Linked DNA regions of Schizosaccharomyces pombe. The gene in region 2 interacts genetically with the main gene of each other region. Each region holds a gene or a part of one and is shown on either strand. Other genes may lie near its edges. The genes, in order: ssn6, tup11, php5 and cgs1.

What was found.
Region 1: of tup11 (region 2) and ssn6, changing one suppresses a phenotype caused by changing the other (phenotypic suppression), as found in Schizosaccharomyces pombe (one study listed by BioGRID).
Region 3: of tup11 (region 2) and php5, changing one suppresses a phenotype caused by changing the other (phenotypic suppression), as found in Schizosaccharomyces pombe (2 studies listed by BioGRID).
Region 4: of tup11 (region 2) and cgs1, changing one suppresses a phenotype caused by changing the other (phenotypic suppression), as found in Schizosaccharomyces pombe (one study listed by BioGRID).

Annotation. Positions count from the first base shown.
Region 1 is NC_003423.3:3,858,929-3,868,691, reverse strand, and holds ssn6 (transcriptional corepressor Ssn6), read right to left. Parts: upstream 6,393-9,763; 5' UTR 5,188-6,392; coding exon 1,879-5,187; 3' UTR 1,640-1,878; downstream 1-1,639. Other genes in the region: mri1 (methylthioribose-1-phosphate isomerase), read left to right, coding at 91-1,170. UniProt on the Schizosaccharomyces pombe protein: Acts as a component of the ssn6-tup corepressor complexes, which are involved in the repression of many genes in a wide variety of physiological processes. May also be involved in the derepression of at least some target genes.
Region 2 is NC_003424.3:297,427-304,577, reverse strand, and holds tup11 (transcriptional corepressor Tup11), read left to right. Parts: upstream 1-2,781; 5' UTR 2,782-2,866; coding exon 2,867-2,990; intron 2,991-3,057; coding exon 3,058-3,142; intron 3,143-3,166; exon of another isoform or gene 3,167-3,314; coding exon 3,315-4,950; 3' UTR 4,951-5,300; downstream 5,301-7,151. Other genes in the region: protein pat10, read right to left, coding at 43-115; SPOM_SPAC18B11.09C (serine O-acetyltransferase activity), read right to left, coding at 559-726, 785-862, 938-1,244, 1,347-1,417; SPOM_SPAC18B11.11 (GTPase-activating protein), read left to right, coding at 5,792-7,151.
Region 3 is NC_003423.3:3,391,312-3,398,627, forward strand, and holds php5 (CCAAT-binding factor complex histone fold subunit Php5), read right to left. Parts: upstream 5,196-7,316; 5' UTR 4,390-5,195; coding exon 4,045-4,389; exon of another isoform or gene 4,000-4,044; coding exon 3,970-3,999; exon of another isoform or gene 3,912-3,969; coding exon 3,039-3,911; 3' UTR 2,593-3,038; downstream 1-2,592. Other genes in the region: mitochondrial F1-FO ATP synthase peripheral stalk assembly factor Ina17, read left to right, coding at 40-71; lys9 (saccharopine dehydrogenase), read right to left, coding at 506-1,858; mitochondrial [2Fe-2S] cluster assembly NADPH-ferredoxin reductase Arh1, read left to right, coding at 6,317-6,523, 6,606-7,316. UniProt on the Schizosaccharomyces pombe protein: Component of the CCAAT-bound heteromer, php5 is essential for DNA-binding activity. It is essential for transcription activation of cyc1. It is the linchpin that binds to the subunit association domains (SAD) of php2 and php3 to bring these proteins together.
Region 4 is NC_003424.3:3,641,115-3,648,646, forward strand, and holds cgs1 (cAMP-dependent protein kinase regulatory subunit Cgs1), read left to right. Parts: upstream 1-1,914; 5' UTR 1,915-2,124; coding exon 2,125-2,254; exon of another isoform or gene 2,255-2,519; coding exon 2,520-3,628; 3' UTR 3,629-4,522; downstream 4,523-7,532. Other genes in the region: DNA-binding forkhead transcription factor for ribosomal proteins Fhl1, read left to right, coding at 1-1,105; SPOM_SPAC1142.09 (uncharacterized protein), read left to right, coding at 1,384-1,731; SPOM_SPAC8C9.04 (uncharacterized protein), read left to right, coding at 5,161-7,104.

The DNA.
Region 1 (9,763 bases), on a different chromosome or scaffold from region 2:
AAATCCTTTAATTTTATCTGATGCATGTGCGTTCGTGCGCTAGTGAAGTAAAAGTTTTCAAAGGCAGAGATATTCAAAAATTTGGGCAGAATGTCGTTGCAAGCAATCATTTATAATGAGGACAAGCTTCTTGTATTAGACCAATTACTTCTTCCGTACGAGCGTAAATACATTTCAGTTAGTAATGTAGAAGACGCATTCGCTGTCATAAAAAAAATGCAAGTTCGTGGGGCCCCAGCTATTGCTATTGTAGCAGCTTTGAGTGTGGCTGTCGGATTAAAACATCTTTCTGAAGATGCAGATGCAAAAGAATATGTTATAAATAGCTTTGAGCATCTCAAACAGTCTCGTCCTACCGCTGTCAATCTTTTTGAAACTGCAAAGTTTATGCAAGGCATTGCTCTTCAAGAAGGAAAAAATTGTCGAAATAAAATTATTCAGGAAGCGGAGCGTATGCTAGTAAAAGATTTAGAAGACAACCACAATATTGGAACTGCTGGCCGAAAATTCTTGTTGCAGCATTACAAAGATAAAGACAAGCTCACCGTTTTGACCCATTGCAACACTGGATCTTTAGCTACCTCAGGTTATGGTACAGCTTTGGGGATCATTCGTAGTTTACACGAATCGGGGAACTTGGAACACGCTTATTGTACAGAAACTCGCCCTTATAACCAAGGCTCTCGTCTCACTGCTTTTGAGTTGGTTCATGATAAAATTCCAGCAACTCTAGTCACAGATTCCACGGTTGCTTCAATTATGCACAAAATCGATGCCATTGTCGTCGGCGCCGACCGCGTTACTCGTAATGGCGATACTGCAAACAAGATTGGCACATATAATCTTGCTATTTTGGCAAAACACTTTGGAAAGCCTTTCATAGTGGCTGCTCCCTTTTCTTCAATTGACACTAGTTTAGCGTCTGGTTCTCAGATTACCATTGAACAGCGACCTCCGATTGAAATGACCACGATTACAGGCCCCATAATCACAGACTCTAACAGCCGAAATCTAGAGGATCCAAAGCGTGTTCGAATTTCTATTGCTGCTCCTGGGATTGACGTGTATTCCCCAGCTTTCGACGTTACACCTGCTAATTTAATAACTGCCATCGCTACAGAAAAAGGATTTTACACACAACAGACTAACAATAAGTATGATTTTTCTTGAGTTCCTTGGTATAGTTTATTATGCTAGTCTCTGCTTTAAAGAAGCAACATTTGTGAGCGAACTTGGCATATTCTTACAGGTGATTAGCACCTAAAATTTAAAAGTCTTTTGAATTGTTTCAGTTTCTCTTCTTTCTTTCCATATATAGTTTACTCTGCTTTTGTCTACTTAATAAAAATAGATAATGAGACTACAATAACTTGTTTTATATAATTAGTTATGTGATTCCTCCATAATAGTGCATATTTGGTTTGATTAAAGCATCTATAATTTATGCAATATATGACACAGGGTCTCGAGATTATATATTTTAAATAATTTCCTTTTTTCTCGATAAATGTCAACTTCAGATACAATTTTTGTTTCAACAGATCAATAGCAGACGTTTATCGTAGGTGGGATATACTTTCCTTAACAAAAATTCCCGCGTATCAGCTACACCAGTATCATCAATTTTTAAAATATGTATGACTATTGTAAGCAAATTTCAAATGTGAGCATATTTTACATTTCAAAAAGTTATTTTTATTAACTCCGAAAACTATATACATCAAAGAAAATTTTTAGGACGCATAACACTCAGATAAATACAAGAAATAAAGCAATTGCAATTCAAACCAACACACACAATATCAAGTCTAATAATCGTACTCGAGCCTTGATTATCATGAAATAAACATTACAAAAAATTGGGCCTTGGGGGTATACTTAAACTGACACGGTTTCTTTTTCTCCCTCATCATCATCGTAATTTTCATCAATATCGAGAGTCCTTGCTGCTTGCTTTGGACTCACACTTTTTGGGGCAAGAGGTGTCGAATCTTGATTTTCGGGACTAGGAGAGCTACGCTCTTGCGATTCTTTTTGGGGCAGTTCCTCTTCTGCAGTAGTAGTAGTAGCGGCAACAGTAGCTGTAGATGTATCAACAGCATCCGTAGACTTATCAACGGTAGCTACATTATCCATATTGCTGTCGCCGTTAATATCGTTAGTGTTTTCAGTAGTAACATCATTAGAAGTATCATCTGACTTTTCTTCGGGACTCTTGGGTAAACTCTCACTTTTAGGTTCCGAAGTCAACTGTGCAGAATCCACCTGTTCAGAAACTGACTGCTTAACTTCTTCCTCTCCAACATCGTCATTTACATCAGCAGTTTTCTGACGCTTTACTGGCTCCGTCGAAGAAACGTCAGTATCAGCAGTTTTCTCAGTCTCCTGGTGATTACGCTTGGTACTCTTTGGATCAGCTGTGCCTTCAACCGGTTTCAAAGCAGGCTCGGGTTTTTGTGGTTTAATACTCTTAGCAGCATCAGATTTTGAGCTTGAACTAGGTGATCCACTAACAACTGTGCTATTCTCCAGCTTTTTAGAGGAATCACGTTGAGTAGATTTTTTAGGATCACTTTCATTCGAAGCTGAAGTCCTCGTTTCCCTTGATTTACTAGAAACTGAATTGCTACGTTCACGATGACTAACATTAGAAATAGAATTATTGCGTGAACGCGGCTGATCTGATAACTTATGTTGAGGAGACTTGGTAGACGAAATAGAATTTCGAGAACCTGAAGCGTGCTTGCCTCGAGGAGTAAAAGCATTAGATTGGTGTATAGTCTGTGGCACAGCAGTCTGGCTCGATGGAGCAGCAGTTTGTACAGGAACAGTAGAAGCAATTACTGGCTGAGTAGCCACGTTGTTATTAGTAACTGACGGTTGTGTTTGGTAAGGCTGTTGCACGACGCCTGATTGACCGGTAGCAGAAGGAAGTTGAGCTTGAGGTAAGTGTGGAGGTTGCCAATTACCCGACAACTGAGCAACAGGAACATTAGAGTAAGGCACGCCTGGCTGGTTGATATACTTTGCAGTCTGTACGTTTGGGACATTGGAAGGAGGAGCGTTGACAATTTTATGTTGTTCATTATTAGGTCCACGTAACAATTGTAACCTTGCCTTGATGTGAGGATTAGTGGGGTCCAATTCAGCAGCACGCTGATAAGCATCAAGCGCATCACTTATTTGATTATGACAACTCTCGTACAAAGTACCCAAGTCATACCAGACTTCCGAGATGTAAGGATTTAAGCGAATAGCACGGGAATAAGCATCCAAGGCGTCTTGATATTGGTTGATTTGATAATACAAAACACCAATCGAGCACCAAAAGGTAGGATTTCTACCATCACGATACACAGCTTGTTGATACGCTTCATATGCCTTGTTGTATTTTTGTTGTGCCACATAACAACGACCTATCAGATACCAAGACTGAGCATCAGTGTCATCTGCTTCTAAAGATTTAGTCAGATATTGTATAGCAAGATCCTGGTTAGTAAACGAAGATGACTGTTGATGGCACAGCCATCCGAGTTGCTGTAGAACCTTGGCATGATTGGGAGTTTCAGCTAAGACACGTTCATACGCTTCCTTGGCTAATTTATACTCTTTTCGTTGCTCGTATACGTGACCAATTTGGAAGTATATGTCCAAGACGGTTAAAGGCTTAGGGGGATTATCAAGGATGTGACGAAAAAGCTCTAACGATTGGGCAAATTTATGCTGCTGTTTGTAAATGATTCCCAAACGAAAATATATTTCATTAACCTTCTCGAAGTTGGGATCCATGCGTAAGCATTGCATAAATGCCTCCTCAGCATGCTCATGAGAGCCATAACGGTCGTATAAAATACCGATCCCGTACCATAGTTTCGGATCTTTGGGATCTTTCAAATGGTACAAAGCTTGACGATAGGCGGAATAAGCGCGAGAAAGATCATCCTGCATCAAATAACAGTGACCTAAAGCACTCCAAATTTCACCCTGCTTAGGATCACAGTCTAAAATAGTTTGGTAATATTCAATGGCAAGCGGAAATTGCTCGCGGTTTCGTAATATGGTAGCAATTTGAAGCATAGCGGGAATCGAATATGGGTTCTGGCGCAAAGCGGACTCATAAGCAGAAAGGGCTTTATCCTGATCATCAAATAGCTCTGCAAGACGGCCAATCTGAATCCAAGTTTCCTCGTTAAGTGAAATTAAATGACGAACAGATTCAGGAGCGTTGGGCGGCAGCACATTGGCGCCTTGTTGAGCAGCAAGCGTAGAAGTAGCTGCGGTTTTATTTTGAGGTACAACAGCCATAGCAGGAGAAGAAGTCATGGGAACAGGCTGGGCATTTTGAACAGCGGAATTTGCTGCAGGAAGGGTCACCGGACTGGCCAAGGTGTTTGGGGTGCCATTTGCAGGAAGAGCCTGTGGAGGAATGGGAGGCAATGCAGCCTGGTTTGGAGCAGGAACGGGGGCAATAGCAATAGGTTGGCCAGCCATTGGATGATTGACGGCAGGAATCGAATAGTAAGTACCATTTTGAGAAACTATTGTAGAGACGGGCTGCTGAATACCAGAATGTAACTGACGCTGCTGTTGTTGTTGCTGCAAAGGCTGCTGAGGCGGCTGCGGTTGTTGAGGCTGTTGATGTTGTTGCTGTTGAGGCTGTTGTTGGGGTTGCGATTGTTGTTGCTGTTGCAGGGGAACGGGAATGTAAGGAGAAGCCTGGTTGGGAAGGGGTAGCTGTTGAATGGGTTGGTTGGAAGAGAGTATGGGCATCATTCGTTGCAACTGAGGATGCTGCTGAGGTGCATTCGTAGCAGCAACCATGTTTGGAGGAAGTTGTCGGTATTGTTGAGGTTGTAGAACCTGCTGAATGGGAACAATGGCTTCAGCATAATGAGGCTGGGATGCAATAGAGACAGAGGGTGGTTGTTGAATGTTTTGCTGGGCAGGGCCTAAAGAGGGAGACTGCTGGGCAGGTTGCTGCTGTTGAGATAGTAGAGGATGCAATGTGGAACGAGGAAGATGAGAAGGGGGAAGGGAAACAGAATTGGCATGGAGGGGTGAAGCGTAGTAAGCAGTCTGAGGGGGCAGCGAAGCATTTGGGTCGGACGAGAGGACTTTTGAGCCCATGCCATGGTTGGGCTGTGCATTCTGGGAAGGAGAAGCAGTAGCGACTTGTGATTGGGGCATATCAAAAAAGTTTTTAAGTACAAATTAGATAGAGAAGAACGAAAACACGGAGGAGATCGAAATATGAAAAAAAAAATAATAATAATTAACAATAAACAATGGACAATGAAAAAGAGAAAAGAAAAAAAAAAGAACAGAGAAAAAGAATAGAAATTCTTCAAGAATGCAACATCCGCTTATGGAAAAGGAAAAGTTCAGAGAACGAAATCCACGTAAACCACAAAAATAGAATGGAAAAAAGGAATTGATTAAAAAAAGAAAAAGAAAAAATTACAGCGAAAAACGAAGGATGTTGTCGTATAAAAGTGGATACTGTACAACGATGCCAAGAGCAATTCAGTGGAATAATAGGTTATCCAGGCAAAGTGAATTGATCAATGGAAAAAAAATGGTCCTTGTTTCACCAATACGTGTAAAGGTAGGCGAGTATGTCAGATAAAACAAAACTGTATTTGTAGTATACAGTGATGTACTTTCCTATACTATATACTTGGTCCTAAGAGTTAACAAGCCGTTACACCAAAAAACCAAAAGGCAAATGAAAGCAGGGAACGAGACACAGTGTTGAAACAGTGTCAAGTAGAGTAATCACTTGTGAATGGTTAGATTCGTGTGATTGATGTCGAGCAACAAAAAAAAAAAAAGAAACTATAAAAAGAAAAAGCAAGCAAACAAAAGCAAAAGCAAAATAGAAAAAAAAAAGCTAAGCTATGTCAAGTTTGCAATTGTATAAAAAAAAAGAAAGAAAAACAAAAAAGCTTCCCGAATTTTATTTGCCCACAAAAAAAAGAAAAAAATTGAAATACTTACGAAAAGTTATGAGATGTCGCGCAACGTCGCCGTCAAGACCAACGAACGACCGACCGACTCAAGTAGTCTGTTGAAGAAAAGCAAAAGGAAAAAGAGCAAATAACCAAATGGAAATAGACTCTAAAAACACGATGCGATATAAAGCGCAGAGCAAGACTTGAAGAATAGTTAGAAGAAAAATTCTAGTCTGCGAAACTGTCGTTTTCCTATGCGCCAAGCAAAGATGTAGTTGACAAGAGTGCTGCTATGCTGGCTGACTAAGGGTAAGTGCGTAAAGACGTACAACACTGCAATGTATACGAGTGCGCCGAGAGCGAGTGAGCGGGAGTGGGTGAGTATGAGATATGCGAGAGAAGCTCACCTAGTGACAAAAAAGTCAACGACAAAACCAAGATCAAGAACAGGGAGTATAGTGAATCTAATATATAAGGATTTCGGTAAACCCCGATTGTGCCTCTTTGTACTTGGGTTGAGCGGGTGGAAGAGGGAAGCAGCGGCAAAAGGAGGGGGGAAGAAATGAAGGGGCAAATCAAGACAAACGCAAAAGAGGTAAAAAGTGAATGCTGACAACCAGGTGCAACACAAACGGAACTTTGACCTCGCAAAATGTCACCTGAGAATCATCGCGTTTTCACGAGAGCGAAGTAACAAAGACGGGAGTGTTATGACAAAAGGCAAAGGCAAGGGCAAGACAGGGTAAGGTAAGGCTGACGAGTTGGCGACGGCTTGGAGCTCGTATTTTAAATATAACGCAAAAGAGAGAGATGCAGGACAAGGGCGATACAAGGCAAAATGTGTAGGCGAGGGAAGGCATAGATAGAGAGAGAGAGAGAGCGCACAATAAGGAAGAAAGATGGGCGAGATTGGATGAAATGGGTGAGTCAAGAGAGCTGGGAGAATTTCAAGCGTTTCTGTTTGTAAAGAAGATTATTATTCATCAACAAGGAACTAGATGGAGTGTGAAAGGAATGGGGATAGACGGGGATAAAGAAGAAATTGGGGTTATCGGTTACGTTGGTAGTAAAAAAAGGAGGGAAGCGTCATAATAGAGAGAAGGAGAAAAATAACAAAAGTTGGATTGGATAGAATTTAAAAAAAAAAAGAAAAAAGAAGAAAAAAAAGAAACATTCAATCAATAACAATTTCGAAAAATCTTTTTACTTTAAAAAAAAAAAAAAAAGCGACTTTATGGAAACTGTATTCCACAGTGCGAAATGAACAAAGCAACAAACGACTCTATTCGTCTTTGAGCCCATTCTGTTGGTTGAGGATATATAGTGTAGCGTAAGTTAGCTCACCGCTTGCAAAATTGAGCCTAGCACAGGGCGCTAGTAGAGACAAAAGTAATCAACGTAAACAAAACGCATCGTGTTACTTGCAAGATAAGAGAAGAAAGAAAGTAAAAAGGAAAAAAGAAAATTTACCAACGAATCACACTGCATATGCTTTTGGTTGATGGGATGGCTTGTCCAAAGCAGCCACAAGGCAAAATAGGAGGATGCAAAGCAAATGCGCAAGTAAAAAAAAAAAAAAGCATGCGAAACCGAACACTCTTAATGAGATGATGGAAAAAGGTGAAATTTCTTTACGGCAATTTCCACTCCACCGAATACCGAACCGATCGATCAAAAGTGCTGCGGCAGCGAAAAGTCTAGCGCAAAACACATTGCTGAAAACGTATCGCTCAAAGCACATCGCTTGACTTGATCTGTCATGCATGCTTTGCAATTTCCACGCCATCCCCTTCCATTCAATTAGTTTAGCCATGAAAGGATGGATGGATGACAAGAGCAGTTTGCAAAACGAAAAAAAAAGAGTGCAGTGGAACGAACTTTGCGAAAGGGTTCAATGTATTTCAGTAAATTGGCTAGACCCACATGGGCAGCGTATCTAAAGTAAGCTCACATAAGTGATTACGAGTTGCGAGAGCCGACAGTGACATTAACATTTGGGCAGGCATGACCAAGACCATGACAATATCTTACCTTTCTGAATGACGACCTCTTACAACCTGGATGCATCGATATTATTGATATGAAAACTTTCTTATTATACGAGATTCTTTTCTTACGGCCACCATGACTCTTTACTAGTCCCCCTTACTCTTCATTTTACTCCTACTACTCCCCAAATTCATACACACTTTCATTCGTCCCTACTTGATTCTCCAAGTATCACCCGATCGCTGTATGCTCGCTCCTACTGCGACGAGAAGAAAATTGCATCTCTTTTGTCCGTCGATCCCATTCTCGATTTGCACACGTACGCACATATGATAAGGCATCGTTGCAGGTGACGTTGTAATGTCTGCCGCTTCCATCAGCACGATTTTTAGTCCATAGCATCCCTGTCCCTTTGTTGAGCGCTGCACATAAAGGAAAAAGAAAAACCGAATGAAATTTGATTTAATGTAACATACATGCTTTACTAATAAACGAAGAAAAGAGTCGATAATGTCAAGGGGAAATCTAAAAGAAAAGAAAATACTATACTATACTATACTATACTAGACTATACTTTACTTTACTAAACTATACTATTATAATGAAAAGGATCCTCAAGATTCATTCTTATACGGATGTATGTTGTTTCGATGTTTATAAATAGGAATTGGATGTTTAGTTGGCGAGTTATTTAGATGTTTAATGATAGTTATTTGTATTATTTAAATTATTTGTATTGTTAATATTATTTAAATTATTAGTATTATTTGTATTTGCATCTATTTATATGTTTAATGATAGTTATTTGCATCTATTCATACAACTATTTCAATCATTCAACAGGAATAAAACCATTTCCTTTTTATTCTATCCCTCTTTCTTCTTCTAATCTTCCTTTTCATTCTTTCTTTACTCTCTCTCCCTACTCAACTCTTCCCATATCTAGCGTTCCTCCTACCTCCAGCGTTTCTCCCAAGTCTAGCGTTTCTCTTATGTCTAGCCTCTTTTATATGTTTCGCTACCATCTATTTAGTGAAGTGCGCAAGAATTTGTTCTTTTCTTCTTTCTTTCTTTCTTTCTCTGATCCTCCTCCTTGTGCTCTTTCGTCCTTCTTGCAACGTGCTATTTTTCCCTACAAGAACCTCCCACTGCCCAAGGCCCATCAACAATCTAACATGACGCGATTGATAGGAGAATGACTTTTAGGTCTCGAAAGCCAAACCTTACCTCTTCGGAAGATGCGCGTAGAAAAACGCACCGTTTCCATATCACCAAATAGGAGAAAACACTATCGCGCCTTATTCACTCATTCCAAAAAAGTGTCGTCATCGTCAATGAGGGCCGCTGTCATCGACAAATAAGAGGTCAGTCATCTTTCAAGGCCAATTTGGTCAAACTGACTCGACTGGTGCCGCAAGATGAAAAAAAAAAACACCGATGTCCATTAGAGCCCATGTGGGGCAGTGCCCCCTTGAGAAAACTGACTTCACCCCTACCCTGAAAAATGACGTAGTATCAGGGCGTTCCGAAACGGATATCGAGTCAATTTCCTTGGCATTGACGGTATGGACAAAATGGCAATTTTAAGAAAAGTCGTACCAAAACCATCTGATCTTCCCAATCACCAATGATCTCAATTTCACGTCACCTCTCACTGCACGGCGGTAAAGGAAGGAACGGGGAGGTTTTTTCCGAGATTGGCTCACTTGCTCACATTGGCAAGATTGGCTTCGAGAATAGCATAACCCAGTATAACACACTTAAAATAGAAATAGCATTGTGTAACGAAGAAAGCCAAGGCTGCGTTAAGACAGGGTTAGGCC
Region 2 (7,151 bases):
AACTCACGATTGGGTTCAATTTGAAAGTGCTTTCTACTTTACCTTCTTCATTTGCTTTGACTCTAGCTTTGTAGGGAACGATTAAATCAGGTCGTTTAAGTTCTGCAGGCGCCATATTTTATGAATTTTCGTTGTCGAGACTTCAGAACTGGTGAATGGGATGGTTCCTCTACAAGAATATAATGAAGTTAGTAATAAAATGTGTAAAATGGTTTTAGGTTAGGTTATTTAGCATTCAAATATATCGTGGGGGTTAAGAGTTCTTATCCCACTAAGAATTTCAACTATTTTAGACTTGGCTAAGCATTAGAATTAAAATCGATTGCAGTACCACGTGGGGGCTTTAGCAAGTCATAGGAGGAAACTGATCCTACTTGGCGAGTGAGAAATGGATTTCTTTTAGCATTCTAAGTCTTCTATATAACAATTTAAAGCTCAAACATAATATAATATTATTTATACTATTTTAAAAATTTAGGAACCAAGCCAGGTGAACTTAAGAAGTTCAAAGAGCATTTAATCGTTAGATGAAATAATAAAAAAAAAAATTACACTCGTTCACTCGTTTTCAATTTTACGAATAGGTTTGGCAGGTGATCCTACAGCCAACGTATTAGGTGGGATGTCTTTTGTAACAACAGCACCCGCTCCAATTACACTGCCTTCCCCGATAGTAACACCTGGGAGAACTATAACTCCCATACCAATCCAAACATTGTCCTGAATCTTGATAAAATTTTGTTTGTTAGTTGTAAGATGTTTCAATAACTGGACTAACGCATACGTTAATTGGTAAACCAAATTCAATTCCGGAGTTCCTTGCTTTAAAATCCAAGGGATGTGTTGCTGTACATAGTTGAACCTGGAAAGACACCATTAGTATATTTATTTTTTGAATGAATGACTTGAAAGTAACTATATATATATATAAACATACATTGGGGCCTAGCATTACATTATTACCAATAGTAATTATGGCAACATCTAGAAATGTACAATTATAATTTGCAAAGAATTTTTTTCCAAAATGAACGTTAAATCCGTAATCAAAAGCCATAGGTGGCTCAATCTCTGGTGCTGAAGATTCGTCAAATACAAAAACTTCAGCCAACAGTTCAGCTCGTCTTTTAATCAATTCTGCTGGGCCTACATTTTCCAAATCTCCCATAGTGTCATTAAACCTTCGCATTAATTTTTTAGCATTACATCTCGCTTGAGTCAACTCCTCGTCGTAAGCCTTGTACCTGTTATTTAGTAATTAGAATATCTCCCTGCGTTCAATGTGACTTCAAACATGTCAACGAAGATGATATATTAGCTCGACAAGTTTTAAGCATTAGCCTTACGGTTGACCAGATATCATTTTTTGGTATTCAATGGTTTTCGGTATCATTTTTTGTACACGAGTACGAGTCATTTCTGTCGGAAAACAAGTATATTCACTAGCATTGACAATGGGACTAGTAGAGTTATCGATGTATAAATAGACTTATATATATATATATATATGTATTGATATCAATATTAACAAATTGCTGATAAAACTATACGGAAACTTTTTAGTGAAATAGTTTGTAAAACGTAAGTAAAAACATCTCGATGATATATAGCGTCAGCTGTTACACTACATTATGCCCCACTATGCAACATATCATTAATTGTCGCATTGCTTTATGTCTGGCCCCTACTCGTATTACCACCAGCATACCAAAATTTATCAAGTTACAAGTAAATAGTTAGTGTAGCTTAACAAACGCTGAGGGCCGTAAACTGACAAGCAATAACAAGATATGCAATGAACGTTGTCCGTCCCTTTTTTAATCTTGCTTTCCTCCTGTATCATTAAACTGATTAAACTGGGTAGTAATCCCAAACTAATGTCATATAAAAAAAAAATTCAAAACAACTTAAATAGTACATCAAACAAAAATTGATAAGTAAATAAGCAATAAATATGATTTAAAAATAAATCCAAAGTGTATTTATTAATCGCCCTTGAAGTGTAAATGGCATATCGTGTCAGATTAAATGCTCAATTTCTGACGGCTTCGGTTTGCTGCGCTTAAACATTTTGCTTTAGTGTTAATAAATTTCAACTATGGGATTTTTTCATCCTTCTTCATGATAACTAGATTATATGAAAAAAGCATCTTTAAGACAACCAACAATGTTTTAATATCAGTAAAGTGCGTCAAATTTCGCATCATTAAACAAATAATGTCACTTATGATTAACTGAGTCATTAGCAAATGAAATGTGAATTTACGGGTTAAATACTATCATAACTTTTAATTAATACTTATCAAGATAAAACTCACTGTAATAATGTCTTACAAAGGTCGGTAAACAATCTAATTAAACAAGGATCAGATAATAAATTGATTAAACACAAATTTTAATTTTTTTATATTGATATATAAAAACGGTTAACAAATTTTTCCATCAATAAAAAAAAAATGAATTACACTACGTTTCAAAGTTATAACTATTTTTTTATAACAAACATCAACTGAAAAGCAAGAAAATCTATATTCAAAAAAATAATATAAACGCTACAAAAAATCAAACAGTAAAGGGTTTCGAATTGCTTTTCTCTATAATTCAAATGAATTTCAAAATAATTGGGACAAGTTGCCAACACACACGCCATACTAATTTTGTGATACTTGCTCAACCAAAAATATGTAGCACCACATTCTCTATTTAAAGATTAGCGCAGCACAAGGAGCCGCTCGATAAAAGTGCTGCTACAAACGTTCAAGAACACAAGTTTATTCTTGTACCACAATTCAAGTGTTGCTATTGTTGTAAAAGGGCGTATATCAATCGGATTCAGTTTTTGCAATAAGTCTGACTGAAAAAAAAAATGGCGTCAGTGGAGGATGCCACGAAAGTTCAAGAAATGCTGGATGCGTTGAAGGCTGAATACAATGCTTTGGCTCATCATAGCTTCGCGTCCAAGGCGCGCGGAAACGACTATGAATCTTCTAGTACGTGTTTGAATAAAATAAATTAAATTAGCTATTTTTTGGAAACTAACATTCTGTTCTATTGCAGTGATACAATCTCAAATTCAAGAAATTGAAGCGTTCCGAAAAACCGTGGATGATATGTATGAAAAACAAAAATCTATTAGAGAAACGTAAGTTTTTATATGTTAAAGGTATCGAGGGATTATATAGTATCTACTTCTTTTCTGTGAAATTCATCATTATTTTATAATAGCATACGTGTCGCTCGAGATTTATATGCTTGAAGTAAAAAAAAAAAAACCTTTATAACATCTGTCTTCACCAATTTACTAACATTTATAGGTACGAAAAAGATATCAACAAGTTGAAGCGAGAGCTTGAAGAATTAGGTGTCGAAGCGAATACCGCAAGTTATAGAAATCGTGGAGAAAGATCTGAACTTGCCGCTTCTAATAATCAAGTTACCCATATTGATCAGGAACATCCCTCTCAAACCAAATCTACTTCTCAGCCTCCAAGTAACCATCTACCTGCCTTTCAGCAAATCCCTCCAATTCACCAATCAGCTTATCCTCAAAATAATGTTGCTGAAGTATTGATGCCTCCAATTCCTCCTTCAGTAGAGGCTTCTAGCGGGCAAAATTTTAATCAGGGAATTGCTTCTCAAAATCCCGCGATATCTACATCCAATTTACCTAGTACTACACCTTTATATATCCCTCCTGTTAATTACGGAGCAAATCAGGTTTCTCAACAACCAAATCCTCAATTGCCTGGTGTTTCCAATTATTATAATCCAAGTGCTACTTCAAAACCTGCTGTGAATGTCCAGCCACCGCGTATTCCTACCAAAGCAACTCCTTCGGCTGAACCTTCTATGACTGCTTCTGCGAATGCTGGTTCTATATCCCAAGCGGGTCCTGATGGAGAATATCAGGGAAGAGAACAGATTGCTCCAGTTTCAGATACAGAAGCTGCTAGAAAGACAACTTCTCAGAGTTGGTACGTCACTTATAACCCAGCATGCAAAAGGGTTTTTAATATTAATCTCGTGCACACACTAGAGCATCCCAGTGTTGTTTGCTGCGTTAAGTTTAGTAACAATGGCAAGTATTTAGCAACTGGCTGTAACCAGGCCGCTAATGTCTTTGATGTTCAGACTGGCAAAAAACTTTTTACTTTGCATGAAGAATCACCTGATCCTTCCCGTGATTTGTATGTGAGAACCATTGCTTTCAGCCCTGATGGTAAGTATTTAGTCACGGGAACAGAAGATCGTCAAATAAAACTCTGGGATCTCTCAACTCAAAAAGTTCGTTACGTATTTTCAGGTCATGAACAAGATATCTATTCCTTAGATTTTAGCCATAATGGGCGATTCATCGTCTCTGGTAGTGGCGATCGAACTGCACGACTCTGGGATGTGGAGACAGGTCAATGTATTTTAAAGTTAGAAATTGAGAATGGTGTGACGGCAATAGCCATCTCTCCAAATGATCAATTCATTGCAGTTGGTAGTCTAGATCAGATAATTCGAGTATGGTCTGTGTCGGGTACTTTGGTTGAACGATTGGAAGGTCATAAGGAGAGTGTTTATTCTATTGCCTTTTCGCCCGACAGCAGCATTCTTCTTAGTGGAAGTCTTGATAAGACTATCAAAGTCTGGGAATTACAAGCAACTCGTTCAGTTGGCCTTTCAGCTATTAAGCCTGAAGGTATTTGCAAAGCCACCTATACAGGACATACTGATTTTGTTCTTTCAGTAGCTGTTTCACCCGACAGCCGTTGGGGATTAAGCGGATCGAAGGATAGAAGTATGCAATTCTGGGATTTGCAAACAGGCCAATCTTATCTCACTTGTCAAGGACACAAGAATTCAGTTATTTCCGTATGCTTTAGCCCAGATGGTAGGCAATTTGCTTCGGGAAGTGGTGATTTACGTGCTCGCATATGGTCAATTGACCCTGCATCTCCTTGAATTTTTGTTCCTGTTTACATATAACTATTTGCTCTCGGAAATAGTTAACCGCATTGATTTTTGGTTACAAAGTTTACAAACTAAATTTTGTAAACTCTATTACTACACTGGTATATTTCCTTAATTTGTATCATATTTTTTTTGCAATATTATTTCCTTTACTTACGGTCACAATAGACAAATCATCACTCAGTTTTTTAATGTCACTAATTTTGGAGAATGGCTTCTCTCATAAATTAACTGAGACACTTTTTATTTAAAAAATAAACAATTAATAAAAAATTCCTTAATTTTTAATTTTAGTTCTATGATAAATGTTGCATAACTTGAGATAATACTTAATACTTTTCAATGTAGATTCTTGAAATACATGTGGTTGATTAAACATTTTTTAAATGGTTATTCTTGTATTTAGTAATTTGCATATCTCCACCTTGACTCCGAAATTCACCAACAGATTTATCATATACTCGCTAAAATTATGTATGTATTAACCATCTTCTGACTTCTTCAACGCGAAGAAGACTCATTGTTTCGATTTTATTGACTAAAACATAGAAATTGAATAAATCCTAATCGATGCTATATTGAGGTGTGCTTTTACAATCCGTTACAGTTCGATATCTGCACGTTTCTTAAGGCTATCTTTTCAGGAGTTTATAATAATCCTCCACGGCTTAAGCAGTCTATAATTTGGGTTTACTTCATTAAATCTTTAATTTAGCACTTTTTAAATATATTTAAAATCTTAATACTTAAATCGGTGCCAACCCAGGACCTATATTACGTTTGGGTTAAAGAAAAATTGTCGTTGTTTGCTGCATCGATTTATATCTAAGCTATGAAGGCTTTGGATATAGACACGATTCTCACCCAAATATCGAATCAACAGTCATTGGATAAACGCTACAAACGCATAAAAAGGCTCATCAACAATGAGCAGTTTTGTAAAAATGTAATCCTACAAAAACTTGTTGATTCCACTAAAGACATTATTGAAAATAAAGTTCACGGAAACATACTGGCAGCCACTATTTCCTTATGGACTCATGCAGCTGAAAAGCATAAAGAAATGTCTTCCGATGACCGTGCACTATTATTCAACGAGCTGTCAAAGGTTCCGAATTCTGAATACTATCCTGCTACTGTAGACGCCTTGATTGTTATTACATCCCAAGGCGAAAGAACTGAGTCTTTTTCAAATGACATACTTAAAGTTTTGTCTGAATGGTTGACTGATTTATTTACGATTATTGATGATATGCGAGCTCAGTCGAGAAAATCCTTCAAAGGAAGTGCTGAATTGAGAAATTACACCCGTTGTTTTCGTCAGATAATTCTCTTGCTTACGAATATGTTCAGGGTGGGCTTTAATTTATTTGATGAAATGGAGGTTTCTTCTATGCTAGCGAATTGTGTGTGGGTCTCAAAAAGCACCACCGATGAAGAAGACATTGCATTAGTTTTTTCGTTATTAAATTGTATTATATCCTATGGTCGCATATCTTCCGCTGTTTTGTATTCTATTGTTGAAGTAGTATGTCGAGCAAAATTTGGCTTAGTCGCAAGCTCACAATCAGCTCAGCAGATTGTTGAGAAACTGTTGAAGACAGCGACCAAGTACGAAGCACTTAATTCCCTAAAACGGATAATGGAAGAGACAGATGAAGGTTCTTATATAGCGATTATGGGTGGTATTCAAATCGTGAGTGCTCTCTTTACCGATATCCCTAGATCAGTGTATTGCACTAGAGGAATGCTGCTTGGATTCCTTCAAAGATCCTTAAAGAATAAATCTAGTCGAATAGCTTTAGAAACCACTCGTTCTTTATATAATGCTTTGGAGCGCCGTTCTTTTGTTGAAGTGCTTTATGCAGATGAATGGATCAGCCTTTTAGATTTGCTTGTTGAAATATCTTCATCACTTCCTAAATCTCTCAATTACCGACCTGGAACTTGGCAGCACATTGAGCCTAATATAATTGAGTCTATTGCATCGTATCAATTACAACATCTTCTTTTATTTAACGAAATTTTAAAACCAGACTCTAATCATTTTGTTCTAGAGAAGTTTCATGAGTTCCTGAAAATTAATTTTTCATATTTAACCCCTACACTTAGCCAAAAGTTGTTTACTGTTCTTGATTTACGATCACAGTTGCCATATTCGGAAGGATGGCTTGAGGATCAAACAATTCTAC
Region 3 (7,316 bases), on a different chromosome or scaffold from region 2:
GTTGATATGTGAAAGCTCTTTTAGTTTGTTGACATTTAGGCGAATTACGGAATTTAGAGAATGCGAAATAAAAACACGAGATTTGTATGACCCAGAAATTTAGTAACGTATATGGCTTAAAGAAGCGAGATTACGATTTGTTAATAGTTCAGTATGTCAAAAATTCTTTGAATAGCTAAATGCTACAGACGAAACACTCAGTCAAAAGGTCCTCGAGTTGTTTGTTCAAATAATCGAGAAGAGGTTATTTTTTCTTCGAGTTTTACGTCGGTTACCTAAGACTAAATACATCTACTTAGAAAATACGAAAACCCCAAGTAAAGCTTCACATAAATAAGGTTGCAAAACAAACTGAACATTTATACTTATGAACATGTAGATAAATTGCCAAAAAAAAGGTTGACGAACTCTAAGATTACGAATAATTATAGAAAATGAAGAAGCTTTGGTGTTCTAAAATGTCAAACTTATATATAAGAGTTTGGAACCAAAGCGTGAAACATGCTTACTCTTCGTCAATAATTTCTTCCTCCAATCGAATACCTTCTTTGGCAAGTGTATCAATCAATGGACCGCAAAGCTTCATATCATTAGGAGCCAAAACACCTGGGGTGTTAATAACACCATCAAGAATTTGCTGAGTAGCAACACCACAAGGAACGCCGACTAATTTTGCCATAGAGGTGTAGCCATTAGGAACACCGTAGTCAAGCAAAGTGCAAGTACGAGTTTGGCGTTTTCCTTCTTTGGTTTCAACTTCAAACTTGTGTTGAAGGATTAACATATCACGTTCACCTTCTTCGTATTGCATAAGTTCCTCCAAGGTAGCGCATAAGGTGTCCAAAGGATTACCACGAGGAGTAACGGGTTTGCTAGAGAACATACCAAGCCACTTCAAACCATTCAAAATGCGCTTCTTGTCGTCTTCATCTTTGAATTTGTGGATGGAAGAAATTTTCTTGATTAGGTCGGCTTCGGAGGAAGATTCAGCCTTGATGACACGAGCAGTAACCTCCTTCCAAGGCAAAGCGGGTGCTTCAGGAGATAAGTATTCCTGAGCTGTCTCATCCAAAAATCCCATATCAACCAAACAATGAATAAACTCGGGAAATCCTTGGTAACGTAAAGTACCGCGAATGATAGTTTCTGCTTCAGGTATTTGATAGCGCTCTTGGTAGACAGTGGAATCACGATTAGGATAACAAACGAAAGCGTAACCGGGATAGATGAAATAGGGTTTAGCAGTTTCCATCAAATCCTTGCCGTCAATTTCAACAAGTTTGCCGTTTTCATAAAACTTGGCAGAGTTGCGAAGAGCCAACAAAACACCACGAGAAGACCAAGAAAACTTGTATCCTAAAGGATTGTTGGAGTCCTCGGGAGCGGGAAGACCTCCACAATAAGACAAGAAAGACTTAATCTTACCGCCAGCTTTATGAACCTCTTCAATGGTCTTGATAGCATATAAATGATCAATACCGGGATCGACGCCGATTTCGTTCATACAAATAGAACCAGCCTTGATGGCAGCTTCCTCCAACTCAGCCATTTTGGGATTCACATAACTGGTGGTACAAACGTGTTTACCATGCTTAATGGCAGCTTTCATAACTGTTGCATGATAAGTGTAAGGAATCAAGCTGATGGTAAGATCATGTTCGGAAACAGCTTTCTCAAGAGCTGCTTCATCATTGACATCCAAAGCAATGGCTTTGCTGTTTGGGATACCATTAATAAATGCTTCAGCCTTAGAAAGAGTTCTGCATGCTACGGTTATATTATTTTCTTTACGACGAGATAAATATTCTAAAGTAGGATGAGCGACAAATCCCGAACCAAGTAATAAGATGGAAGGCATTTTGATGTTGAAAATGAAAGAGGCAGTCAGTTAAGGACAAGTGGTAAACCAAAGACTTCTGTTTTGTCGTCACGGTTTTAGCGATATATAAGGGGTTCCTTTTTATCCACAGATTTATTTCTGATGGCCGAAATCGTCGTCTAAATTGATGAAAACTGATTATCTCGAATCGGTTAAAAAAGCAGTCACATGGACCATTTTTTGAATTAATATTTAATCGTTACGTTTCCTCTCAATGTTATGTTTGGCTTACTAGGGGAATTCGTTATTATCGACAAGTTTAGTCGATAATTTGTTAGCAGCGATGTCGCAACTGATAGTTTTAGCAACTTTTTTTACGTAGTTTTTTTCTGCAGAACAGAAGTTGCTTAAAAGCTAGTAGATGCCATTCGTTGTTGTTTGGGGGTAGATTAAAGAATTCTAAGCTTTAGTATAAGAATAATTTGTTTCTCCTCTTTCTGCCTATCTGTTGTTCATAATCAACTGCGTAGTTCTGGTGAAGGAGTAAATTAAACTGCCTCGCACCGCCGTACTCATTTTTACCTCGAGTATGGTGGCCGTGGAATGGTGGTTTTTTATGCAGTCGGGAATGAAAGCAGCTGTAATTTCCTTGCATAATGAGCCTAAATACCTTTTTACATAGAAGTTAAAATTTATGAGATTTTAAATTAAAAAATCATCAAAAGTGCAAATTTTCAAGTACATATACGAATAAATTTAATTATAAAGTAAACCTAAACGTTGTTTAAAGCTAATTGCTTCTTGGTAACCGATTGCAACATGCCATCATTTATTTACATTGACAACCCGTAAATATCCATAATAGGTAGAATGTTATCGACAATGAATTTCAAATGCATATATATGTTTAAGTAAAACAAAATACTCTACACTAGCAGTCCCGCAATGGGAAAATAAAGAGGCAGCAAATATGAAAAGCTTCCGTCATTTCTTTTTCGGTCTTGCTAAAAAAATAAAACCACACATAGCTTAAAAAAAGTAACAATGACTAGACATAGCATGTCATGAAAATCAACTGTTTCTTTAAGCTTTTGTAGATAAACCGAAAATTGACAAATTGAAAGTTCCACCTAAAAATGCATCACTGTTGGATCCTCCCAAATAATTTAATAGAAATTATTTAAATTGCATGTTCTAAATCAACAGGTATTAAAAGATATTACTGGGGTTGTTGCGAATAGCGAGAAAGAGGGTTTTGTTGCTGGGAAAACTGCTGATGCATTGGGTTTCCCTGACGCCCTTGCTGAGTTTGATACATCATAGCGTTTGGCTGTGAATAAAGTCTCTGTTGCTGATCGAATTGCCGAGGAGATCCAGGTCTTCTTGACATACCATATGCAGAAGGATCAAACATTTGAGACTGTTGCATATTAGGTCGCATATTACCTTGAAATTGGGGCATTTGATATCCCATAGGGGATGACTGCAATCGGAAAGCTGAGGATCCAGATTCGAGATGCGTAGGTGGATAACGGTATAAATGCTCAGCCATGTACGGTGCTACCATGACCGGTCTTTGCATATTCATCTGGTTAACATTTCCGGAGTTATCTGACATTTGTAGTTGTGGATATTCAGAGCCCAGACGCTGCTGTTTATACATAGATTGATCAATATCTTGCATTTGCTGCATTCTGGATGGATGAGAGGAATACTGCATTGAAGGCTGACTTGACTGTTGATTTGAAAATGGAAGTTGACTACCAGTTGGCATTGGAAACCCTTGATTGGGTAAGCCAGCTTGAGTGGGGAAAGGTTGTAAACCATTCATACCACCCATAGCAGCAACTTGAGTAGCAGACATATGAGCTTGACTGGAAGATGCGCGGGAATTATTGTTATCTTTAGATATAATATCAATTAAGAAATCATACATTTCAGATTTTGATACTGCATTTGCAATATCGGATCTTTGTAGTGTCCTTCGTTGATTTTTTTTGGCATGAAGCCAAGCCCTCATAGTAAGCTCTGCAATAAATATCTCACTTCCTTTAGCGAACAGAAAAGGAGCTTCTGCCGAGATCATTTTATTCTAAAAAAATTAGTAAAAGTTAATGTCAAAAAGTATTCGAATACTCAAAGTAACGTACCTTCACATCATCGTCAGTTTTCATAACTTTCTGCATAATCAATAGTTAGTAATTAATTCAGAAAAAGTGGCATACCTTAATACGAGCTAAGGGAAGATGCAGAGTTTTTACAGCTTGATCGTCATGTTCCAATGTATCGATGGTTTTTTGCCAATATTCAGCAAGGGCTTGTGCATCACTGCCAACAAGACCTTGAGTAACATTATCAAATGGACTAGCAACCTCAATGGGTGCACTAGCGTTGTAGTGATTGACAGCAGTTGGATCAACATCGGGGACTGGTTGTTGGAAGCGAGAAACAGAATCTTGACCATAACCTATCCGTACCTGAGAATTAGGATTGCCAGAGGGATCAACATATTCTCCTAAACCTTCGGGAAAGCCTTGTTTCAAGGAATAGGAATCAGGAATAGAATTCATTTTGCAATGAATCTTAATTGAAAAACGAAAAAAAGTCTACAGAAAGGCAATTTAGTTTAAAAAGAAAACTGGAAACGTAAAGGCCTTTGCCAATTAGATAAGAGATCAATGCAATCTCACTGGTGACAGGTTTAAAAAAACGACAATGACAAAAATTGTAACTATGCCGGGATCTAACAAATACCAGTTTCCTAAAAACAAAGCTGTTAAAGAAACTGACAATAATTTAAGCTAAAGAATTTCAAATCGAAAATCTAAATATTAAGAGGCGATAAAGATGCGGATTAAAGAAAACTTCCAATACCTTGATGTACAGCTTAACAAAATCGTAACCAAGATAAGTAGAAATAAAATAGAAAGGGAGCGGAGTAGTCTCCGGTAAAATGGGGAATTAAACTTATATGAGAGGTGAGCAGGAGACGAAACAGGGAAGTAAAACAAATTGACGTCAAGTTGAAGAGTGGAACGGAAAGAAAAAAATAAAAAGTTTTACAATCGAAAGGAACACGAACGGCTAAACACGAGGCTTAGTTGCAATATCTAAAAAGATAAATACCAATCGTCTTAATTCACGAAAAACTCGTAGAATGAGTAAGACAAAGCAACAAGTGCAGTTACTAACGTATCTCTAACACATTAACTTCTTAAAACAAAGAACTTCAATAAAGAACACTAGTAAAGCACCTTAACTCGTCGAAGTGTCTTGAATTATCTATGTAGCGTATTACACCTGGCTTAATTAAGTATATAGAGTGCAAAAACACTCAATATAGCGAAAATCGGTACGATTGAATTTATTGGTGGCTGGCAGAAGATGGTTGGCTGTCACACAACTTATTGATGGAACCGGTTTATAGTACCACATACTTTGTTTCTACAATTGCTAAAACACTTTAACGACACGTAAATATTCATTATTTGATATACATAATTAATGTTTTCGCGGTAGTAGATATAATACTATAAACAATAGCATGTGCAAATATTATTCAGTAATTAAAGCAAACAGAATAGAAAATACGTATAGTAATTGACTTCAATCCAGGAATTACATTAAAATACATCCTTGTTAATTGAATCTTACGCCTTTTTAAAGTCCTCGCAAAGATAAAGCTTACCGCGTTACAATTTGTTGGTCTTACAACAGTTCTTTAAACGTGAAAGAGTAATTGACCTTTATAAATAGAATTATTTTGAATGTAATAAATTCTTATTTTTTGTTTTATCATTATAATAGTAGGAATTAGAAAACACTTTCAAGTAGCTAGGTTTAGCATCTTTATAAATAAGTATGATTGAATAAGCAGAGATTAATTATTTTTAAGAAATTTAAATATATCGTTTTCAAATTAACCATTTGAGCCACAATCATCTAACTAGTTATTTGAAATATCATAAAAAAATCATTGCAGAAATCAGTTTGAAGCTGCTTAAGTCACTCATAATAACAACATAAAACACTTATTTGAAGGTTTGCACTTTACTATATGAGATGTTTGTTGCTGGTAATATCGTAAGCAACGATCAGCAAAAGTTCTGTTGTAGCGTTTGATTCAACTTTCCTGTTTGTAATTACCTTTGATTTAATAAGAAATTTCCTTTTTCTAAATACTGACTGATCTTATCATATAAATGCTTTGCTCTCAAAAGGCTTGGCTGCTTGAACCTGACCACTCATCCAATGCTATAAAATTCACTAGTTGTATAGGTGTCACCAAACAGTTTATTGAGATTAAACATTTAAAGCTTTAAAACTAATGAATCAGTTTTATTAAGCATTGGTAGCTTTTCTTTTCGTTTTGAGGAGAGTCCAGTTGTTAATGATAATTGCTGCTAGTTTTATATCAGATTTACAATCACGAAGATATCCTTCACTTCTTCATTTCAATCATTTTTTGTTTTTCTTTCATCTTAAGGCTAAGAAAGGATGCTATCACGATTCATTAAAAGAACATATAGCACTCAAACTTCTTCACCTGTAGTCGGCATCATCGGTTCTGGGCCGGCTGCTTTTTACACAGCCCACAGACTCTTACGAAATGACCCAAATGTCAAAATAGATATGTTTGAATCCCGCCCAGTTCCATTTGGGCTTGTACGTTATGGAGTTGCCCCAGATCATCCAGAAGTTAAGGTAAGTCTGTTAAGCCAAGAAATATTGATTGGTTTAAAAATGGATCTTATTAAATTTATTATACAGCTAACCTCTATTGTAGCATGTAGAACACAAGTTTTCCGAAATTGCTGAGTCTACACAATTTCGCTTCCTTGGTAACGTAAACGTTGGGACTGATGTTTCTTTACGGGATTTGACTAAAAATTATGATTGTTTGGTCCTTGCCTATGGAGCTGCTGGGGACAAGAGACTGGGAATTCCAGGGGAGGACTTGTCAGGTGTTTATAGTGCGCGAGAAGTGGTGGGTTGGTATAACAGTGATCCCAGAAATCAAAATCTTGAGTTGGATTTAAGTCAGGTAGAGGATGCAGTAGTTATTGGACATGGTAATGTTTCACTTGATGTAGCTCGAATCCTTTTAAGTAATCCTGCTCAATTATCCCCAACTGACATTAATCCATTGTTCCTCAAATCACTTGAAAGAAGCAATTTAAAAAGATTACACATTGTAGGAAGAAGAAACATATTTTCTGTCTCGTTTACTATCAAAGAATTGAGAGAACTGTTTGCCCTATCAAGTGCAGTTTTCTTTGCTCCTTCCTTTAATTATTCTACAAAGTGGATGAATGAAACAGATGCAAGCGGTTTGGATAGACCTAGAAAGAGATTGTTAAAGCTATTAGTTTCCGAAATCCAGAAAGCTGTTTCAGAGAAACGAGTAGCCCCTTATTCAAAAGACAAGAAATGTTGGAATTTGGAATTTGGCTTAACACCTGTTGAGATTCTAGGACATAAGGGAAATGTTGAAAAT
Region 4 (7,532 bases), 3.3 Mb from region 2:
GGGTAATTTCTTTAGAAGAACAAAAAAGCCCACCCCTTCTGCTACACCAGCTGCTCATCCTGATACTGCTAGGGAGAATGAATTAGCCGCTATCCAGACAAAGGGTATATCAGCTGGAAAAACCGAACAGCTTAATCCGCAAAAAGAAACTAGTCGTAGTAAAACTCATACTTCCCGAGGAGAAAATGTAGAGGATCGACCACAATCCTTACTTCAAAATGGCATTCAACCTATCATTATGCGCGATGGGAAACTTGCTTTGAACCCCGAGTTTTTCAAGAATGCAAATGGAGAGCAACAGGCTCCCAACGAGCAAGCCGTTCAAGCAATTTCACTACTCCAACAGCACATTAATAAGCAGCTAGGACCTGCCGCTGCCAACAACCCGGAGCAAGCCACAGCGATTGCGAATGCTCTCGCTGTGGCTTTAGCCCAAAAACTTCAAAAGCAGCAAACGCAAATGCAAGGGCCCCAACAAGTGCAACAACAGGCAAAGCGTCGTAAAGCTTATACTTCACAGCAACTTAATCCGGCGCCGACTGCAATGCCGCACCCTAACATAACATCACCGTCTCCTAGTATCTCAGTCACTCAACGTCCTGCAGTAAACGTTGGACCACCTCCATATGTTAGGCCATCTGCTCCTTCGAAGTTACCAGATACACGCCAGAGTATTGGAGACCCGTTACCCCCAGGAGCAATGGCTAATGTGTCCGCGGGGCCATCGTCAGTTCGATCATCGTCGTACAACTCCACTGCTTCTGAAAGCAAATCAGAGATAACAAGCCATCAAAATCTACACACCATACCAATAAACAAACCATTCACTTCTGATCGGCCTTTATACTCTTCGCCTAATGATACTTTAGAGAGAGTTGAAACAGGCAATCAAGGACAAAGGATGAATTCCATTGGAAATGCATCAAGCTTTAGTAAAAGAGATATAATGGAAAACGAAAATGGATCTTTTGATACTAATGCAAAGAACGGAAACAATGTTGACGACTCATCTTCAGTAAGGGGCATGAATTTACCATCAAACTCAAGCGACGCTTTACGAGGAGTAAAGCGACCGTTGGACGAGACATCATCCTCTTATACCTGAATTTACTAATGCTCATGCACGTAACGTTGTTGATGACTTCTTAATTAATACATTAGTGCCGAAAATTACACTTACCAGCATGCATAAGCTGTTTCATTTTTCTTTTTTTGACAGTGATTGCACAACTTGGTCTTTGGGTGGTTTCTACTTTTATTTCTCATGTGTTTAATGTTTACCTTAGTTAATACTTTACATAATAAATTGCCGTCTGGTTTTATTTCATTTAATAAGCATTTTCGTTTTCTTGTCGAAAAAGTTAATAGCAAAGCAGGAAGGGTATGGAGGATTCGCTTTTGTTATCTGTGAACATTAGCGATTCCTTATTTACGTTTTCATTGAAACCTTTGTTTAGCCAATACAGAAAGCATATTTACTTCAATGATTGTTTTTATAGCACTTTTAATAAGACCAAAACTATTATTGTTGTAATCCTGTCGGGCAAGCTCTCTGATCTGATAGACTTCAAAAGTTACATTGAATTTGTTTTGAAAACAAACAACTCATATTCAGCGATTCTAATTTCTTACTATAGATGTATATTTATCATATCACTTTTCCATAGACCGCTCACTATTCATTTCTTAACTAACTTAACTCACGGATGTACAAGAAGCTTCACAAAATAATATACCGAAACACTGGAAAACGCAAGCTATGTTGCATCGTCAAACATTCTACTCTCTATTTTTTTATGCGCTTCGATAAACCCCATATTATGGAGTCAGGGCATTGCGTAGTACATTTTATGACGTATGAGTGAGCTAATGCAGGCATCCATCCATTTTAGTCCAACGCCTCAGGTAGACTTTAAACATACATCTCAACCGTAACAAACGAAGGTAAATAACTGATTTGTATAGCTGAATTCAGCTCTTTTATTTTGGAAAATTTACCTCTTGTGGTTGATTAAAGTGTCAGGAAAAGCTGAAGCGAACAAAAACCGCGAGATTGTGATTCACTGAGAGTAAGAAACAAAAAACCGCATTTTTTGAAAGAAAGGCACGTAAACTTTAGGAGACATGTCTTTCGAAGAAGTATATGAGGAGCTAAAAGCCCTTGTTGATGAGCAAAATCCTTCAGATGTACTTCAATTTTGCTATGACTTTTTTGGAGAAAAGCTGAAAGCTGAGCGCTCAGTATTTCGTCGAGGTAAGTAGATGCTTCTGGATAGCTATGTTTAGTGGAGAGGAAAAGTAAATGATGGTCAATATGGGTTCTTTTTTGTGGTTTTTTACTTTGTTTTGCTCTATAGTAAGTATTTTCTAAATTTAGTCAGCAAACAGCAATTATGATTCCTGGCTGTTAATAATTCCACAAAGTTGTTTAAGGACCCTGTACCCATTTAATCTCCCACTCTATACTACACAAATTTTACCCTTTTTTGTTTTATCATGTTAACAAATTTCTCTTTTAGGCGACACCATTACAGAGTCTTTTAGCGACGGAGATGAAAGCGATTTCCTGTCTGAGCTCAACGATATGGTTGCTGGCCCCGAGGCAATTGGTCCGGATGCCAAATACGTTCCTGAATTGGGAGGATTAAAAGAAATGAACGTTTCATATCCGCAAAACTACAATCTGTTGCGTCGCCAATCTGTTTCCACTGAGTCGATGAATCCTAGTGCATTTGCACTAGAGACCAAACGAACCTTTCCTCCGAAGGATCCTGAAGATTTGAAAAGACTAAAGCGCTCAGTTGCTGGGAACTTTTTGTTTAAGAATTTGGATGAAGAACATTACAACGAGGTTCTGAACGCTATGACTGAAAAACGGATTGGAGAGGCTGGTGTTGCTGTCATTGTCCAAGGAGCAGTTGGAGATTACTTTTATATTGTGGAGCAAGGTGAATTCGATGTATACAAAAGGCCCGAACTAAATATTACCCCTGAAGAAGTGCTTTCGAGTGGTTATGGTAACTACATAACTACGATTTCTCCCGGTGAATATTTTGGAGAGTTGGCACTCATGTATAATGCTCCACGAGCTGCATCGGTGGTCTCCAAAACACCAAATAATGTAATTTACGCATTAGATCGTACAAGTTTCCGTCGTATCGTATTTGAAAACGCATATCGCCAGAGGATGCTGTATGAAAGCCTCCTTGAAGAAGTTCCCATTCTCTCAAGCCTTGACAAATATCAACGACAAAAAATTGCCGATGCTCTTCAGACAGTCGTGTATCAAGCCGGTAGCATCGTTATTCGACAAGGCGACATTGGTAACCAGTTTTATCTGATAGAGGATGGCGAGGCTGAAGTAGTGAAGAATGGCAAAGGCGTAGTCGTTACCCTAACCAAGGGAGATTACTTTGGTGAACTAGCTTTAATTCACGAAACAGTGAGAAATGCGACGGTACAGGCAAAAACTCGCCTGAAACTTGCTACATTTGATAAACCTACATTTAATAGACTACTTGGTAACGCGATCGATTTGATGCGTAATCAACCTCGTGCCAGGATGGGAATGGATAATGAGTATGGTGACCAATCTCTTCATAGGTCACCTCCATCAACTAAAGCATAAAATTTCTATAATCTGTTTTCTTTGAAACTATCTTTGTAATAATGACCTGTCATGATATGCTAAAGAATTTCCCTGTTGTTTGTTTGCCTTCTAACTTTTTCATATTGGTCATGCATGCATGTGATTGTTTACCATTATCCCTGGAATAATTTACTTATTCATGTTGAACATGTTTTGTTTGGATTACTTATCTAATTCAGCATTATATGTGATAATGTATATATACGTATTATTCTTTTTTATTTCTTTGAAAACCTTTATGTCTTGTTCTAGCATGGCACTGGATATGGTTTGTTAATGTTTTAATTCCAATTATATTCGTGATTACCACTTCACTGTTCTTATTTTGTTTTTTTTTTTCTTTTTGAAATTTCCTTTTTTTTTTATTATTTTTATCTGTCGAATATCGCAGCATTTGATGTTTGGAAGCTTACCGTTTAGTTTGTGTTTTTTTTTTCGTACGGATCATGACAGTTATTTTATCGTTCTCTTCATCCTGTTTTTTTTTGTTTTTTAATCGATATTTGATATCGTCAAATATTTCTATCTATATGGAGAGTTCTTATATTTGTTTTTTGAATAATCACACACTCTTCAAAACAGCAGCTGCATTCAATAATGTACTTGGCATTGGAGTAACGCACATTATACAAGAATTACCGTGGTCCGTAAACACTTGCAAGCATGAAATACTTAGAAAGCTTTAGGCAGACGCTAGACGTGGGGAAAGGGATGAAGTGTTAAAAATTCAAGAGTGTGGATGTTTTGTATGCAAACTGAGTGAGTTCTCGGTTTTTGTAGTTACGTGACATAACTTTAAAAATTTTATGAGAAATTGACTAATATCAAGAATTGAGAATAGTTTTTTAATACAATACACAAAATTTTTACCAAGTTTTGAGTAAAGGGGTGCAAATTAGATGAAACTACAGTCTGCGATAAACGATACGTGTAACTAGGAGAATGCAAATTGTGTAAAAAACTTATAAAACGAATATCTTGTTAGACAAATAAATTCAGCAAAAAGCGAAAGGACTTTTATTCAATTATCAAATCCGTACGAAATGGGATACAAAAAATTTTAAAGAATACTCAATTTCGTACATTCAATGTTCTTGCGAACATAATAAATAAAAAAACGACTACAGTTGCGAACTATGCGTAAGGTTTTCTTAAACAAGAAAAATTTTTTTCCCCATATTCCATACTACATATTTACTGTGAATGTTCTTAGTAGGGTAGGTTATTCACAACAAGCACAACGGGTAGAAATGACAATTACTGCAGAATAAAGTTAAGCACTCGAGATAAATTGTAATATTAAGAAGATGATCAGCGAAGCAATGTTTTGGTAAAGAAATGTTTTGTTTTGTGTCTTACTTTCGTCTGAATTAACTTTGTTTACATATGCATTTTTTCACTCACATAACAGGGTTTCGTATAAATTCTAGTTACGCCAAGATTTACAACTTCTACCAACCACCAAACAAGAACGCAGAGCGTGTAAAAGTAGAACAAAAATTGAGTTGAATATGACCACGAATCCCGATATTGTTAAACAGACGAAAAATGAAATTCACCAAGTAACGTCGAGAGTCCAGGAGAAGCTGGATTCGAAAAGTACCAACGCGGTCGAGCAGAATAACAATTCTTCCCAGGCGTCCGTCACCAAGGATAACAAGAAGAAGGCCGCTAAACGCGCCAAAAAGAAGGCTGCAAAAAAGAAGAAGCAGTCAGCAGCAGCATCTGCCTCTTCCACACCTGTGGAAGAAGCTCAGCACGCGCAAGAGGAACAACAAGAACAAACCATATTACAAGAGCCAGGATTTACACAAACTATAGTGGAGAAAGACGCTGATCAGGTTGACGAGCCTTTGGAACCCATAGCATCCTCAGCTCTGGGTACTGTAGAGCCGCCTACTGACAACAAACCCTCTGCCTCCACGTCAACAGCAGTGCCAACTACGGAAGCACGCAATACAAGTATTACCGAACCCGCCAATTCCCCTTCCTCCTCCTCCTCATCCGCTTCTACAAAGTCTACTGCAACCACACAATCCGCTGATTACGTCGTAGCCGAACATTTCGCACCCCAGCGCAATGACGAGCAACTCGGTAATTCCCCAGCTTCGATTACGTCTAAGCCAGCAACGACATCTGCTGCGCAACCTTCTTCGAAAGTAGAGGAAAACATGGCGAAAGCTACTTCACAACCCATTACTACCGCTGAGAAAGAAATTCCAGAATTGAAGCCCATTGAGCCTGAAGCTATTATGATATCGAAAGAAATAAATACTACGCATGATCAGGCAGCAGCTACGACAACAGCAGCAGTTGCCTCTGCCTCTACTACTGCCACTGCTGAGTCACATGCAGTGGCCGATGGAATTATGAATGATAACGTACTTGAAAGCATTGGTGAAAACGTTCAGCAAGAGACGGTTTTCGAGGATGCGAGCGACATTCCACATGCAGATGTCATCCCCCATACCACCACAGTAACGGTGGAAGAAGAATCGCCCATCGCCCTTGGCCAGGGAGGTGTGACGCATGAGGCAACAACCAGTGCTAGAGCTAGTGCTAGTGGCATTCCGGGAGCATTTGAAGAGGTGCAACAAACTGTACAGGAGGACCTTCCTCATCCCACCGCCGAAACGGTTGAAATCGCGAGATTTGCTGAACAACCCGTCCGTGCTCAGCAACCTGAGCAATACGAGTCTTCCGTTGTCCAAGAAGCTACTGAAACTGTGACCGATGTTGGCAAGGGTGTCTCTTCCACTGTCAAGAACGAGGTAAATGTCCCCTCGACCATTCCCACCGAGTCTGAAAACCCAGTGGCCGTTGGAGGTACCACTGCAGAACACCCAGTGCAAGAAGCTGTCACTGCCCCTACCGAGACTGCTCATGATTTCTCCAAGGAAACCACCACTGCTTCCAAAAGGGTGTCAAAACATGACAAGGCGTCCGCCGAGAAACATAAGGTTGCCAGGAAACCCTCTTCTACTGGACAAGAGCCAACGACTCCTTCCACGCCTGCCAAATCAGCCCAGTCCTCCAAGCATGCACGTAGACCTTCAAAACAAGCATCTGCTCCCTCCAGTCCCGGTACTACGTCGGCTGCTGTACCAGGAGGAAAGAAGTCCGCTATTGAAGCTGCTGCTCCTATCCCGACTTCTGCTGATACCGTCGAGTCTAAACATGCTGCTGGTTCTGGTTCTGCTACCACCATACCTTCTCCTGGTTCTGCCACCACCAAACCTACTCCTGGTTCTGCCACCACCAAACCTACTCCTGTTTCTGCTACTGAGGAACATGCTGCCGGCACTACCAAGCCAGCTCCTGCTGCTGGTGCCACTGCGACAGCTGAGAATGAGACGGCTGATGGAAAGGCACAAACCGCCACTGATGGTGAAGCAGCTCCCAAGAAGTCTTGGTTCAAACGTATGAAAAAGTCTTTTGGCAAACTGTTCCACTAGGGTTTACCTGGAAGCATTGGGCATATGTTTGATTTCCGTCTTTTATTTTTGTATGTTGAAAAATTCACCTTTTAGCGACATGACGGTGTCGATGATGATGATGATGATGATGATTTGAGTGAGTGAATGAGTGTTGCTGGGCTATTTGTTTGAAATTGGATTATTGATGTTTAATTATTCGACAATAAAGCCGAATTGTTGATCTAACAATCGATCGTTCATTATTTTGCTGTTTTGTATTCCAGTCTTTTTCTTTTCAAATCACTCATTAGTTTCCATAAGTTGGTTTGGGTAGTCTTAATTTTAAAAAATCTCCATCTTTGTATTTAAGGATTTTTTTTTTCGTATTTAATTGCTTTCCATTATATCACTTTGGATATTATTGTGTGATCGACTATGCCACTGAAGTGTTTGCGTTATGTTTTCTT